Linked DNA regions of Saccharomyces cerevisiae S288C. The gene in region 3 interacts genetically with the main gene of each other region. Each region holds a gene or a part of one and is shown on either strand. Other genes may lie near its edges.

Region 1 (4,892 bases), on a different chromosome or scaffold from region 3:
TGGATAGTCGGGTAACATTTGGCCCTTTTCCTCCTTGATTGGATATTATTACCCCGATTACCCCTCATCTTGGGAGTGCCCCGCTTTTATTTCTCCCGCCAATCGGCTATTAACGGCTTTACGTCATTCCGTGGGCGGGTCAAGCGAGCCGCTCCCTGGTTTGGTCACGCAAAACCGAAAGGCTCAAACAAAACTAAGGCCATCATATATATATATGCGGCTGCGTGCGTGTATTCTCCCGGATAATATGGTGCGTTGCAATTGGAGTATTGGAGAAAATTTTCTTTTCCCTTTCATTACGGCGGAAATACTTCATATAAAAAAAAAGAATACAATCAGTCTTTAAGACTATACGCATAAGCATTCAAGACACATAGAAACACAAACCTATATTTTTAATGTCAGCATCAGCTTTTAATTTTGCCTTTAGAAGATTTTGGAATAGTGAAACAGGCCCTAAAACAGTACACTTCTGGGCCCCAACTTTGAAGTGGGGGCTGGTCTTCGCAGGGCTAAATGATATTAAGAGGCCTGTTGAGAAGGTATCAGGAGCACAAAATTTATCTTTATTAGCGACGGCACTGATTTGGACGCGTTGGTCGTTTGTCATCAAGCCCAAGAACTATCTGTTAGCTTCCGTCAATTTTTTCCTGGGTTGCACTGCAGGCTACCATCTAACAAGAATTGCTAACTTTAGGATACGGAACGGTGATTCTTTTAAACAGGTTATTCACTACATAATAAAAGGGGAGACTCCTGCAGCCGTCGCAGCAAAGCAAACTGCATCCACATCGATGAACAAAGGTGTGATCGGTACTAATCCGCCAATAACGCACTGATTACGTAAACGATAATATGTTCCTGAACTCGCATTTTTTTAATGATTTTTTATGACCTCTTATATATTCTTTCATTATATAACCTCTATATTACATCAAAAGATGGAAAAATATAAAAAAATTAAAAAAAAAAAAAAGAAATTTTTTCCAAAAGAGTATATTTATATGTATGTATACATGTAGGGAAAATAAGAAACTTTATTAATAGTAAAAAAGCATATATACTTTATTATTAACTCTTTTGTTTTTCTCGAGAAGCTTAATTTTGGGTCAATTCAACGACCTTTTTAGCAGCAGGATCTAATTCATCAAACGAATAAATCTTCACGCCTGACTTATTGATAATGTCGCGGCCTTCTTCTACTTTGGTACCTTGCAAACGTGCCACAATGGGGACCCTAACTTCTAGTTCTCTGGCGGCTTCTACCAGCCCCAGGGCAACATAGTCACATCTTACGATACCGCCGAAAATATTGACGAAAATTGCATCTACGTTCTTATTGGATAAGATCAATTCGAAACCTTGTTTGATGGTCTCAGGGGTGGCACCACCACCACAATCCAAAAAGTTCGCAGGATCGCCTCCATTTAATTTGATGACATCCATAGTAGCCATAGCCAAACCAGCACCATTGACTAAACATCCAATGTTACCCTTCAACTTAACAAAATTCAAATCATACTTCTTTGCCTTAACTTCATCAGGATCTTCTTGTGATAAGTCCCTCCAGGAATATATCTTTTCCTGTCTGAATGATGCGTTATCATCAAACCCAAATTTGGCGTCTGTACACATGATTTTGTGGGTTGGATCATGTTCAATTTCACTCAAAGGGTTAATCTCCACTTGTGTAGCATCCCTTTCCATGAATATTTTATACAAATTGGAAACAGCTTTTGCTGCCTCGTCTTGTGCATCGGGACTGAAACCGAGACTCTTGGCAACATCCTTGGCCATTTGTGGGCTCAATCCCTTTGAAGTTTCAATTGAAAATTTCTTTATAGCATCTGGGGTTCTCTCAGCCACCTCTTCAATATTCATACCACCTTGACTGGACGCAATGATCATCGGTTTCTTGGTTTGTCTGTCCATTAGAATAGATAAATAAGCTTCATGCTTTGTATCTACTCTTTTCACTATATATACAGCAGATACTGGCTTCCCCGCTATTCCCGTCTGTTTAGTAATCAGGTTATGATTGAGCATTTCTTTTGCAACATCCTCTGCCTGCTGAGGACTTTCGATCATGTGAACACCGCTTTTGTAACCGGTGTCGAAGTGACCTTTACCTCTACCTCCGGTCAATGCCTGCGCCTTGATGACCAGTTTGTTAGTGTTTAATTTCTTGGCTGCTTCGAAAGCCTCTTCGGGAGTGAACGCTGGAAATCCTTCTGGAGTACCAATACCGTATTCCCTCAATAACTGAGCTGACCTGTATTCATGAATTGACAAGTGTCTCCTTGCTTGTAAAGCAGCTTGCGCGTTTAGCCTGCTTAATTGCCCACACTTTGAAATTAGGGATAAGGATTTTCTTGAGTACATTTTGTTCAGTTGCAATGCTTCAGTATTTTTTTCGATTGTATTGACTCAATCCTTATTAATCCTAACTACCTAAAAGTCAGTTACAAAAAAACTGGACTATCGCTCTATAGTCACTGTTATTTTTCGAGAGAAAACGTCAAAGTGCTGATAAGGAAAACGTCGATCTTATATAAAACCTCAAAGATGTTGACTACGCGGCAATTGAAAGGCCAACCAACTTTTAGAATACTCACTCCGCCGCTGCGGGGAAAAGCCGAGAATTCCCGATGAACACATAATCGATACCAGTTGGAGCATTTTTCTCTGTACCAAGACATAAAAAGAGTTTTTTTTAGTATCTACCTGGCTTTGGTGTTCCATTCAAGGTAGAGAAGTCCTCATACAGTTGGAGAGATGAATGTATCTGTGTATATGTATGTATATATTAATATGGCTACGATGTCGTCTAATACCCCTTCTTCTTTTGTTTGGTGATGTGTGCACGTAACACTTTTTGCTTGTCTCGTAGTGACATTTTTTGTTTACCTCTAACAGATCTCTTGTGAATAGACATAACAAAGTTCTTCCTTCTTTCTTTTTCTCTGTTGGTAGTAGAACGCATGTTGTCACGCTTACCGCGTCTACTACCAAATTTGTCTCTACCTTCACGACCTTCCAACACCTTTTGTAATCTTTCCTCACGAGACTGTTTGTATTTGATAGGGCCTGTTAGTGTACTTGCATCAACTAACTCTTCACGCTTGTCTTGTTTGTGGATACCCATTATTTTAGCAACGCTTTCCTCATTACGCAATTCTTGTAGTTTAGCGAAATCTGCCGGAGTTAAAATACGTGTAGAAGCAATTTCACGGAAGGCAGCTTCGGGATCTATATCTGCATCTTCTTGCTCATCCTTCACTTCTTTTTCATCGTCATCATCGCTTAGTTCCAAATCGGAATCTGATTCCTTGCCCTTAGCATTGTCTTTTTCATCGTCACTATCTTCCATATCAACGTCATATTCTTTATCACTATCCATGGTGACCCACTCACCGTCGACATCGTCTTCTTCGCTATCGACATCTACTTCCCAGTTGGCATCAGCGTCTTCATTTTCACTCTCTTCACCATGTTCTTTCTTCCATTTGGCTAACAGTTCGATACCAGCAATCCCTTGAACACTGTTGTCGGCACCAAATTGCGGTCTTTTTGAATCTTTACCTCCTTTCTTGGCTTCTTGTACTTCCATGGCGGCATTCTTACCACGATCCTTCTTCTTTAGCATTTCTGGTGCCACGTCTCTATACAACGCTATCAATGACTTGGCAGCCATATTGACACCTTTAGCTTTAGACCCCTTATATTCTACCAGATCCTGTAGTAGAATCTCATCGATAGCCAAAGGTGCACGAGAGCATATTTCTCTAATGGTATTAATGCCTGCAGCAGCGACTTCATTGGCAACACCGTCTGATACAAACTCGTCTGCAATCTTTCTCACCATGACATTTATAACTTCAGGAGGGACAAGATCATGACATGCTTGGGCACATGCGGACATAATTCTTGTAACATCTCTTTGTTTCGGAGTTAAGTACTTTAAAAAAAAAGTATAAATTCCTAAAACAATTAACTTATGGGTACCAATCAACCTTGATAACAGCTGCATCAAAGATATTTTTTGTTCCATGTCAAATTTGTTTTTCGTTTTGCCTGAAAGATGTTCCTTAAACAATTTTTCGGCAAATCCTTGTGGATCTCTCAAAAGGTGGATAGCACTGAAGTTTAAATACCCTTGAGGAGCACCCGGTCCGTTCTTCTTCTTCTTCTTCACAGTTTTTATGGCATTCTCCAGCTTCTTACCACGTCTACCCGTTTTTTTATTGACTTGCATCTTATGCCTTAATGCATCTAAATCAAACCCATCCTCATCCTCGGAATTTTCTTCAAAATTTTCTTCACGTTCTCTGTCAGCATCCAAAAAAAACATCACACCAGACATGACAATCTTAACATCCTGATGTAATGCTGCTTGGGTCATAATTTCTACTGTTCTTGAATCATCCCAAATACCACGTCTCCAAAGTTCTCTGGTTAATTTTGTGGCCCAGATTCCCTGGGAATCTGGTTGATCTAACAAATTAAAGCAAACGGCCTGCGTAGATTTGTTCAATTTTTGATTTTTACCATTAGTATTACAACTTTTTAATAAAGAAATTAAATTTGTATAAATGATTTTCCTCAATTCCTTGGCGTGTGAATTAACGCCGAGTGAATTACCATGGGAAGAGTAAGCAACCAATAAAGGAAATAAGCTTTGAATTAATTCCTCAGCAGTAATGACGTCCTTATTCCTTAACATCGTCAAACAACTTAAGATTTTTTCTTTCAATTCAAATGGCAAGGACTTATGGTGTTCCAGCAAAAGCTGCTTTAATTCAGACGGGAAGTTTGCAGTTTCACGAGGAAAACATGAGCAGACTTGAGATACGAAGCCAACCAATTCAATAAGTTGCGAAGTTGAAGTGCTC
Region 2 (4,646 bases), 470 kb from region 3:
ACGAGTGCTTTTGCCTTGCTCGTCATGAGAACGACTAACAAGTAAGAGCGCGATGTTGCTGTCCACTTAGGCATCACTATATGGGGCCAGGAATGGCAAATTTACTTGATAAACTTCAGGCGATTGGATTTTGGTGCTCAGAATATTTTTTTCTCGGGCCGAAAGCGTCTTTAACTATTCCGAGCTAAAGCTTCCGAGTCCTTTATTCGGTCTTTTTTTATTTTTCAAGATTAACTGTATATAAATAGAGATGGTATGATTAAAAGCTCTTTTTAATAGATGCTCCTTCTTGAAATTTACTCCCACTGTGCTGCAAGAGGTTAGACGCTTCACGCACATTTTTGCTACAATGACAAGTGCCGCTACTGTTACTGCTTCGTTCAACGATACTTTTAGCGTATCCGATAATGTCGCCGTTATTGTTCCTGAAACGGACACTCAGGTGACCTACAGGGATCTATCCCACATGGTGGGTCACTTCCAGACCATGTTCACAAATCCTAATTCTCCATTGTACGGAGCTGTTTTCAGACAAGATACAGTGGCGATATCCATGCGTAATGGGCTGGAATTTATCGTCGCTTTCCTCGGTGCTACTATGGACGCTAAAATTGGCGCGCCCTTGAATCCCAATTATAAGGAAAAGGAGTTCAATTTTTATTTGAATGACCTGAAATCTAAGGCGATTTGCGTCCCAAAGGGTACCACAAAGTTACAGAGTTCTGAAATTCTAAAATCTGCCTCCACGTTTGGATGTTTTATCGTAGAGCTGGCCTTCGATGCGACCAGGTTTAGGGTAGAGTATGATATATACTCTCCAGAGGACAACTACAAAAGGGTTATTTACCGGTCTTTGAACAACGCCAAATTTGTCAACACAAATCCCGTTAAATTCCCTGGGTTTGCCCGTTCCAGTGACGTTGCCCTGATTTTGCATACCAGTGGTACCACCTCCACTCCAAAAACGGTGCCTTTGTTACATTTGAACATTGTGAGAAGCACGTTGAACATTGCTAACACTTACAAGCTAACGCCCTTGGACAGATCTTATGTCGTGATGCCTCTTTTCCACGTCCATGGGTTAATTGGTGTTTTACTTTCCACTTTTAGAACTCAGGGTTCTGTTGTGGTTCCCGATGGATTCCATCCAAAGTTATTCTGGGACCAATTTGTTAAGTACAACTGTAATTGGTTCAGTTGCGTTCCCACAATAAGCATGATTATGCTGAACATGCCCAAACCAAACCCTTTCCCACACATTAGATTCATCAGATCGTGTTCTTCTGCTTTGGCTCCAGCAACGTTCCATAAGCTGGAGAAGGAATTCAATGCACCTGTCTTGGAGGCCTATGCGATGACCGAAGCATCACATCAAATGACCTCAAACAATCTGCCTCCAGGAAAGAGAAAGCCTGGTACTGTGGGCCAGCCACAAGGAGTCACCGTCGTCATTCTAGATGACAATGACAATGTCTTGCCCCCGGGCAAAGTCGGCGAAGTTTCCATCAGAGGCGAAAACGTCACTTTGGGGTATGCTAATAATCCAAAAGCTAACAAGGAGAACTTCACCAAGAGAGAGAACTATTTCAGAACCGGTGACCAAGGTTATTTCGACCCTGAGGGGTTTTTGGTCCTTACAGGCAGAATCAAAGAGCTTATCAACAGGGGTGGTGAAAAGATTTCACCCATTGAGCTCGACGGCATTATGCTATCGCATCCAAAGATCGATGAAGCCGTTGCATTTGGTGTTCCCGACGATATGTACGGCCAAGTAGTTCAAGCCGCCATTGTTTTGAAGAAGGGAGAAAAAATGACCTACGAAGAACTGGTGAACTTCTTAAAGAAGCACCTAGCCTCTTTCAAAATTCCAACCAAGGTGTACTTTGTTGATAAGCTACCAAAAACCGCTACAGGTAAAATCCAGAGAAGAGTTATCGCAGAAACTTTTGCTAAGAGCAGCAGAAATAAGAGTAAGTTGTAGGCAGTATCCTGTACAATTTTATGCTCTCTGAAAGCTTCTATCTGGCACCCGTTTATATACGCCAATACTTATGTATTTTATCTATCTAATGAAACCACAGTATTTATCATGCCTAAGCTGATTCTTTTTCGTCGCGGCTGTTTCCGGGGTCTGTTTTCCGAGACTTCGAAGTGGGAGAACATGCAAAAGAGACGAGTCTTCAACTAAGAAGTTCTCCGTCATTAAAAGTCATGCGTTTGCACGTTTGCAATAAAAAGAGGTGTATCTACATATACAGGTTAACGATTGCAACAGCGACTCTTGATATTATCTCTGTCAAGTTTCTTCCTTTTGTTAGACTAATTTAGTATCATTTACACACTCGGACGTTAAATTCCGCCTCCCTCATAACAGTTCCTGTGTTTGTTCATTGATAATCGATCGCAGTTTAGTAAGTTCTTTTACTTTTGCAATAATTTTGTTCAACATGTTTTCCAGACTGCCAACATCATTGGCCAGAAATGTTGCACGTCGTGCCCCAACTTCTTTTGTAAGACCCTCTGCAGCAGCAGCAGCATTGAGATTCTCATCAACAAAGACGATGACCGTCAGAGAGGCCTTGAATAGTGCCATGGCGGAAGAATTGGACCGTGATGATGATGTCTTCCTTATTGGTGAAGAAGTTGCACAATATAACGGGGCTTATAAGGTGTCAAAGGGTTTATTGGACAGGTTCGGTGAACGTCGTGTGGTTGACACACCTATTACCGAATACGGGTTCACAGGTTTGGCCGTTGGTGCCGCTTTGAAGGGTTTGAAGCCAATTGTAGAGTTTATGTCGTTCAATTTCTCTATGCAAGCTATCGATCATGTTGTCAATTCCGCTGCAAAGACTCACTACATGTCTGGTGGTACTCAAAAATGTCAAATGGTCTTCAGAGGTCCTAATGGTGCTGCAGTGGGTGTTGGTGCTCAACATTCACAGGACTTTTCTCCTTGGTACGGTTCCATTCCAGGGTTAAAGGTCCTTGTCCCTTATTCTGCTGAAGATGCTAGGGGTTTGTTAAAGGCCGCCATCAGAGATCCAAACCCTGTTGTATTTTTAGAGAACGAATTGTTGTACGGTGAATCTTTTGAAATCTCAGAAGAAGCTTTATCCCCTGAGTTCACCTTGCCATACAAGGCTAAGATCGAAAGAGAAGGTACCGATATTTCCATTGTTACGTACACAAGAAACGTTCAGTTTTCTTTGGAAGCCGCTGAAATTCTACAAAAGAAATATGGTGTCTCTGCAGAAGTTATCAACTTGCGTTCTATTAGACCTTTAGATACTGAAGCTATCATCAAAACTGTCAAGAAGACAAACCACTTGATTACTGTTGAATCCACTTTCCCATCATTTGGTGTTGGTGCTGAAATTGTCGCCCAAGTTATGGAGTCTGAAGCCTTTGATTACTTGGATGCTCCAATCCAAAGAGTTACTGGTGCCGATGTTCCAACACCTTACGCTAAAGAATTAGAAGATTTCGCTTTCCCTGATACTCCAACCATCGTTAAAGCTGTCAAAGAAGTCTTGTCAATTGAATAAATAAACTTCAATCCAATAGGAAGGAGAGAAAGAAGGAGATAGGGAACTTTTTTCCCTGTACCCTACACTTTCTACCCTCTTCGCGGAAATAGTACTAATGAGAAAAACATAAATAATATTTTGCTAATCAAGACATGTATGGCGTACTGGTTATTAGTAGATATATAACTGCAAATACACACATACATACAATGTATATATTTTGTTTTTACAAAATTGAATGAGATAAGTACTGTGCACATTGAATGAGTTCCTGTTTCATGGTTAGAATACGCACATATTTATTTTCTTTTTTTTCTTTTCGACGACAGGCTGAATGAAAGAAAGAAAATAAAGATACTCTGGCATGCGAAAATAAGTGAAAAATAAATCGGCTATAATGCGTAAGCTACTGTGGGAAGCAGAAGCAAGACCTAAACGTTTGGTGAGGCAGTATAATATACCATAGTTATAGGGGGATAAAACAAAAGTAGGCATGGAACCTAAGCGAAAGAGCGGGTCACTAGCCAAGCATGATTTGCCGCAATTTTATCTTTTAATTATGTTATATTTGGCTCAAGGCATACCTGTAGGATTGGCCTTCGGTACCGTACCGTTTCTACTGAAATCTTTAGCAAAGGAGACCTCGTTTACATCACTGGGAATTTTCTCTATGGCTACATATCCATATTCTTTAAAGATCATATGGTCACCAATAGTAGACTCACTGTACAACAAGCGCATCGGTAGAAGAAGATCATGGATCATTCCAGTACAATTTGTTAGTGGATTTGTGCTATGGGCATTAGGGTGGTGCATATCACAAGGCATAATCTTCGATGGTGTCGACGATGCGTTCCATAATCGCGGTAATGGCACTTTACACAGTGTCAGTATAAAAAATTTGACGTGGTGGTTTGGCCTGTTAGTTTTTCTGTGTGCCACTCAAGACATCGCAGTTGATGGTTGGGCGTTGACGATTTTGTCCAAAGAATCCCTATCATATGCATCTACCGCGCAAACAATAGGTTTGAATATTGGTTATTTTATGTCATTTACCATTTTCCTGTCGTTGAATTCCTCTGATTTCGCCAATAAGTATTTCAGAAACATCCCACT
Region 3 (5,118 bases):
TTTGACCTTGAACCAACTTGTCAATAACGATTATTAGAGTTATCAGAACGAGCAAATACGAGCGATGTAAGGATAAATGGTAAAAATGGATACATGGCGTAGCTAGGGATGGCGATGATGAAAAATAAAACAACTAAAAGATGTAAAGCAAATATGAAGTTTATGCTGCCCATGACTGTATTGTGAATTTGTTTGCTGTTGAGATTGTTGTCGTTATTTTCATGCCATTCATTTTATTATGGTCCTAATATTATACACGCTGCTATATATAAGTTACGTATCATAGCGGCACAATCTGTTGAACATTTCTGGCGGCCTGTTGAACCTTCAAATGGGCGAGCTGTTGAACAGTTTTGGCCAACCTGCACCCAGGGCTATTACATACACAACAATTTGCAGTGTCGACTTATCTATCTGCCCTCTTGCTGTCCACATGTGTTGAGTGTCATGTGTAGATTTTTACTTTTTCTACTTCTGTTATCTTTCCAAACTTTGTCTATTAAACCACTCAATTGAACTAATTTCTTTGATGAGCCGTTTTTTTTTTCTTAGTCCTCTGGATCAAACCAAATTGCTTACCAATCCTTCCACCACTGATAGATAACACACATCCGGTTGTTGTTGATAAGTGTATTATGCTAATCGGCGTCCCTTAAATTCAATGGTGAGAAGAAAAAAGCGATGATCCTTGCCTTCAAGCGCGCGCAAACAATAACCACTTATTAGCTTGAAGCTAAATTGCGGAGAAGGCTGTTCACAAACATGGATTCCAATATTAATTCCATAATAGGAGAAAAAAAATCATTGTAAGGTATACATGCATCATTACAGATAAGTTGGGCGGTTCAGAGCTTGGTTTTGTATTACCCTGGCATTTTTACATTGACCTAAGCAAGAGAACTACCCTGACGTCATCAGCGAAATTCGTTGAAATTAATATAAGGGTTGATGACTTTCAACCTCTTAGTTTTTTTTACTAATCACTACTTAATACATAATTATTGTGTAAACATATAAATATACAGTACTACCTGTGAATTAACTAGACGTCATGCGTATTGATTAACTCCCTCCATGAGCGCAAAAAGTATAAATATGCAAGAAAAAACAACGCATTGGATAAAAGCTTTATAAACATAAAATCATAATCATATCATTTCCTTTCTTTTTTTTGTTAAATACTCATCTCTCGGTTTGCGCACAAACACTAGTCAACTGGTTCCCAGCTGTCGACCTTCATTGTACCCTTTTCAGCTAAGTTGGTGTGGAACTTGAAAGCATTCTTTAGCATGTGTGGTTCATGCAAGCAATTGTGCTTTTTAGCGTAATGCTCTGCTCTGTCCAAGTAATCGGTCAACAAAGCTTGATAATCGGGATGAGCACACTTGTTGATGATTTCACGGGCTCTTTCCTTAGGCGATAGACCTCTTAGATCCGCCAAACCTTGGTCAGTGACCAAGATGTCCAGGTCATGCTCAGTTTGATCTACATGAGAGGCCATAGGAACAATGGTAGAGATACCGGTAGGGTCTACTTTAGTTGGTCTTGCAGAGGGGGCATGCATGATGGACAACTTTGCATTTCTCAAGAAATCAGCAGATCCACCCAACCCGTTCAACATACGGGAACCATTCACATTTGTAGAATTGGCGTGCGCGTAAATGTCAACTTCTACTGGGGTATTCATGGCGATGACACCCAATCTACGGATCATTTCCGGATTGTTCGAGACAACTTGAGATCTCAAACACAATCTGTGTTTGAAATTTTCCCAGTTTGCAAAGGCTCTGTCGAAACCCTTTTCAGTCAATCTCACGGAAGTAGCAGTGGCGTAGTCCAAAGATCCGTTCTCGAAAAGATCCAAGAACGAGTCCTGCAGCACTTCCGTCCATACAGTCAAGTGCTTGAATTGGGCGCCAGCAAGCCCTTCAATGACAGCGTTAGCAATGTTACCTATACCACTTTGTAAAGGCAGCAGGTTTTCAGGTAGCCTACCATGTTTTACCTCGTTTCTGAAAAACTCGACCAAATGACCTGCAATAGCCCTGGACATGTCGTCAGAGGGCGTATTTGGTGGGACCTGGTCCCTCATGGTGGACTCCACAATCGCAACAACCTTTTCAGGATCAACCGGGATGGAGTCAACACCACACTTGTCGTCCACTTTCAGATATGGGTATGGTTTCCTGAAAGGTGGGTTCACGGGCATGTCTATATCGTGAATACCCTCGAACGAAGGCGTAGCCGTGTTAACCTCAATAATCACTTTATCACTGACTGTAATGAATTCTGGAGAACCACCGACAGAGGGACCTGGGACGATAGACCCGTCCTCTTTAATGGCCGTTGCCTCGATTATAGTATAATCAAGGATTTTGTTGTCTTTTCTTTCCCTGGTGTAGAACCCGTATGTCAGATCCTGAGGGAACATGGACAGATGTTTATCAAAGAACTCAATTCTACCCTGGTTAATTGCCTTTGCAATGGGTTTCCCTACTTGATGAGGGGCTCTCTTAATGATCATGTCGTGTTCAGCCCAACGGTTTTCCTCTGGACCAGCAGAAGCTCCAACAAAAAGGTTGAATCTCAACTTCCCTTGTAAATTGTTCTTCTCCACGTGATCTATCAGTGCCTCCGGCACTGCCTTGGGAGTACCCACTCCTGTAAAACCGGACCACCCAAGGTACTGACCATTCTTGAACAATGGAATAAGCTCGTGAGCTTCCTTAACTTTTTTCAGATAGGGAGCATACCTAACTCTCTGCTTTAACAAATTAGAAATTGTCATTTTAGTGCAATATGTGAAAAAGAAAAAAAGAAATGTGTTGTTTGTTTTGCCGCTATTGTCTAGTAAGACGGTCTCTTGCTGCTTTGTGTGCTAATGTAAGCCCGGTGGGCACAAGACAAAAGAAGGGGTAGAACACATCTAACGTCTATATATACACAGCAACTTGATTACACATTTGCTCCAGCAAGCGCTTACCGTCCACAATACAGTGGTCATCCATACAATCACTACTTTGGTAGTTTGACGCTCCGATGGGATTGGCTGTTGCGGATGTGGTTGAGGGCGTTGTCCTCGAGGCCAATCAGCAGCGCGCATTGCCCGCCTTTGGCCCGGCGGGCCGCGCGTCGCAGGGGATGATGCTAGTCACCTATATGGATCACCCCTTGTGGTTCTTCATTTTTTTTTTCTTCAATTAACAGCCGCCGACGGCCCGTGGCGCGCGATCACGGAGTTGCGTAACTGCTCCCCTTAGCTCCATATAAGTATTGTCCTTTTATACGTCCGCGTCCTCAGCGGCTAATACGTATGTCATATGTACATATGTATATGTGTACGTATATGTATATGTATACATTGTTCTTCGGGTTGATATTTTAATGATAATGATGGCTAACTAAATATTTCGTTCCAAATGAGTTTCTTGAGGTCTTTCGTCGTTAGTGCCTCCTTGTAGTGATCAAACTCGAAGAAGCTGGGTGGGATGGGTTCGCCTTCAGGTTCGTCGTTTGGATCGTGGTATGTTTGCAAATACGGATGCTCCAGTGCCTCCTTAGCAGTAATCCTCTTCGCAGGGTCAAAAACAAGCATACGCTGTAAAAGATCTATGCCTTTCGGGTTGACTCGAGGGAACATCTTCTCCAGTGGCGCGGCAGGGTACATGGGAAGCGACTTTATGTACTCTCTAGCCCTGGGTGACTCTATACACCGCAAATCATTATCTGAGTGAGGTGTACCGATGATACCGAATATCAGTAGTAGTTGATGGCGATAATCTCTGCCAGGGAAGATTGGCCGTCTTAAGAAAAGTTCAGCGAGAATACATCCGCAGGACCACACGTCCATGGCCCTTGAGTATTTGGCAGAGGTTAACATCACCTCTGGCGCCCTGTACCAACGTGTGGCCACATACTCGGTCATGCCGCTTTGCTGACCTGTGGGCTCTGAATTGTCCGCGGCTGACTCGTCAATGATTCTTGCTAAACCGAAATCACATACTTTCAAGTCACAGTTGGAGTTTATGAGAAGGTTGGAGGGCTTTAAATCACGATGGATGACGTTCGAACCATGCAGCACTTTCACTGCTCTCAAGGTTTGGTATATAAAATATTGTATATGATCGTCACTCAGCATCTGGGTGGAGATTACACGGTGTAAATCTGTCTGCATTAGCTCTTGAATTATGTAGACCTCATTGAAGTTTTCGAACGAGTCAGGGCGTTGAATGTTGAAGATTGTTATGATATTTTCGTGCTTGAAGTGCTTCAGGATCTTTATTTCACGCAGCGTACGTAATGCGAACAAAGGCTTATCGAATGGTTCGATCTTTTTTATTGCCACGATTTCTCCCGTGGGCTTATGCGTTGCAGAACATACCACACCGTATGCACCCTCTCCCAGTAACGACTTCAACTGGAAGTCACTGGATATATTGTATACAATTCTCTTTGGCATATTATTTTCCTTTCTTTTTCTCTGCCTTATTTCCTTGTAGTTCAAACGAACTAGCTATTAGAAGAAAGAAAATGATTACAACGTATATATAGTTTCTGAGAGGCAAGAGTAAAAAGTTATGATATATTAGTATGTTGCTTTTCTGCAATTGTTTCAATGCCCTGTAAAAAACCGCATCATCTAAAATCTGAGAGAATGCAGAAACAAAAAAAAAAAAAGTAAAAATTTCGAGTAAAAGAATTTTGAGTTCCAGGGTGAAACAGATCTAAAACTCAAGAGCTTATGCATTGCTTGTAGGTACATCACATTTTACTTCAGAAAGATAAAAGAGTATGTGAAAGTAAACTGCCCTCTCCAGTTAACTCTTCCCAAACTAAAAAGTATCCGCCTGTGCGGACTACAAGCACTACCGCCCCTTGAATGAACACCAAAAGATGTGTGTAAGTTAAAAAGTCCGAACGAATTTATCCTTATGTATGTTCTTTTGAACGTCAAGTAGTCAATCTCTCCAACTACTCGGGTCTTTATATGGATCGCGTGATGTTTTAAGCCTTCTTTCCTCTAGTTTAGTGCAGTCGCTGCTTTTTTCTCGGGCTGAGTACGGCGAAAAGAAGGAAAAACCAAGGTCAAAAAATAACCTCTAAATAACAGCATGATGC

Evidence for each region. A genetic interaction does not mean that the proteins touch.
Region 1: mutations in ACH1 (region 3) and LSC2 together harm fitness more than expected from each alone (negative genetic interaction), as found in Saccharomyces cerevisiae (3 studies listed by BioGRID).
Region 2: mutations in ACH1 (region 3) and PDB1 together harm fitness more than expected from each alone (negative genetic interaction), as found in Saccharomyces cerevisiae (3 studies listed by BioGRID).

The regions. Positions count from the first base shown.
Region 1 is NC_001139.9:976,938-981,829, forward strand, and holds LSC2 (succinate--CoA ligase (GDP-forming) subunit beta), read right to left. Parts: upstream 2,383-4,892; coding exon 1,099-2,382; downstream 1-1,098. Other genes in the region: MPC3 (mitochondrial pyruvate carrier), read left to right, coding at 399-839; SDA1 (Sda1p), read right to left, coding at 2,828-4,892. UniProt on the Saccharomyces cerevisiae protein: Succinyl-CoA synthetase functions in the citric acid cycle (TCA), coupling the hydrolysis of succinyl-CoA to the synthesis of ATP and thus represents the only step of substrate-level phosphorylation in the TCA.
Region 2 is NC_001134.8:664,055-668,700, reverse strand, and holds PDB1 (pyruvate dehydrogenase (acetyl-transferring) subunit E1 beta), read left to right. Parts: upstream 1-2,447; coding exon 2,448-3,548; downstream 3,549-4,646. Other genes in the region: TDP1 (tyrosyl-DNA phosphodiesterase 1), read left to right, coding at 1-38; PCS60 (Pcs60p), read left to right, coding at 350-1,981; YBR221W-A (uncharacterized protein), read right to left, coding at 2,059-2,163; YBR220C (uncharacterized protein), read left to right, coding at 4,024-4,646. UniProt on the Saccharomyces cerevisiae protein: The pyruvate dehydrogenase complex catalyzes the overall conversion of pyruvate to acetyl-CoA and CO(2).
Region 3 is NC_001134.8:191,792-196,909, reverse strand, and holds ACH1 (acetyl-CoA hydrolase), read right to left. Parts: upstream 2,789-5,118; coding exon 1,208-2,788; downstream 1-1,207. Other genes in the region: mitogen-activated serine/threonine-protein kinase FUS3, read right to left, coding at 3,398-4,459. UniProt on the Saccharomyces cerevisiae protein: Presumably involved in regulating the intracellular acetyl-CoA pool for fatty acid and cholesterol synthesis and fatty acid oxidation. It may be involved in overall regulation of acetylation during melatonin synthesis.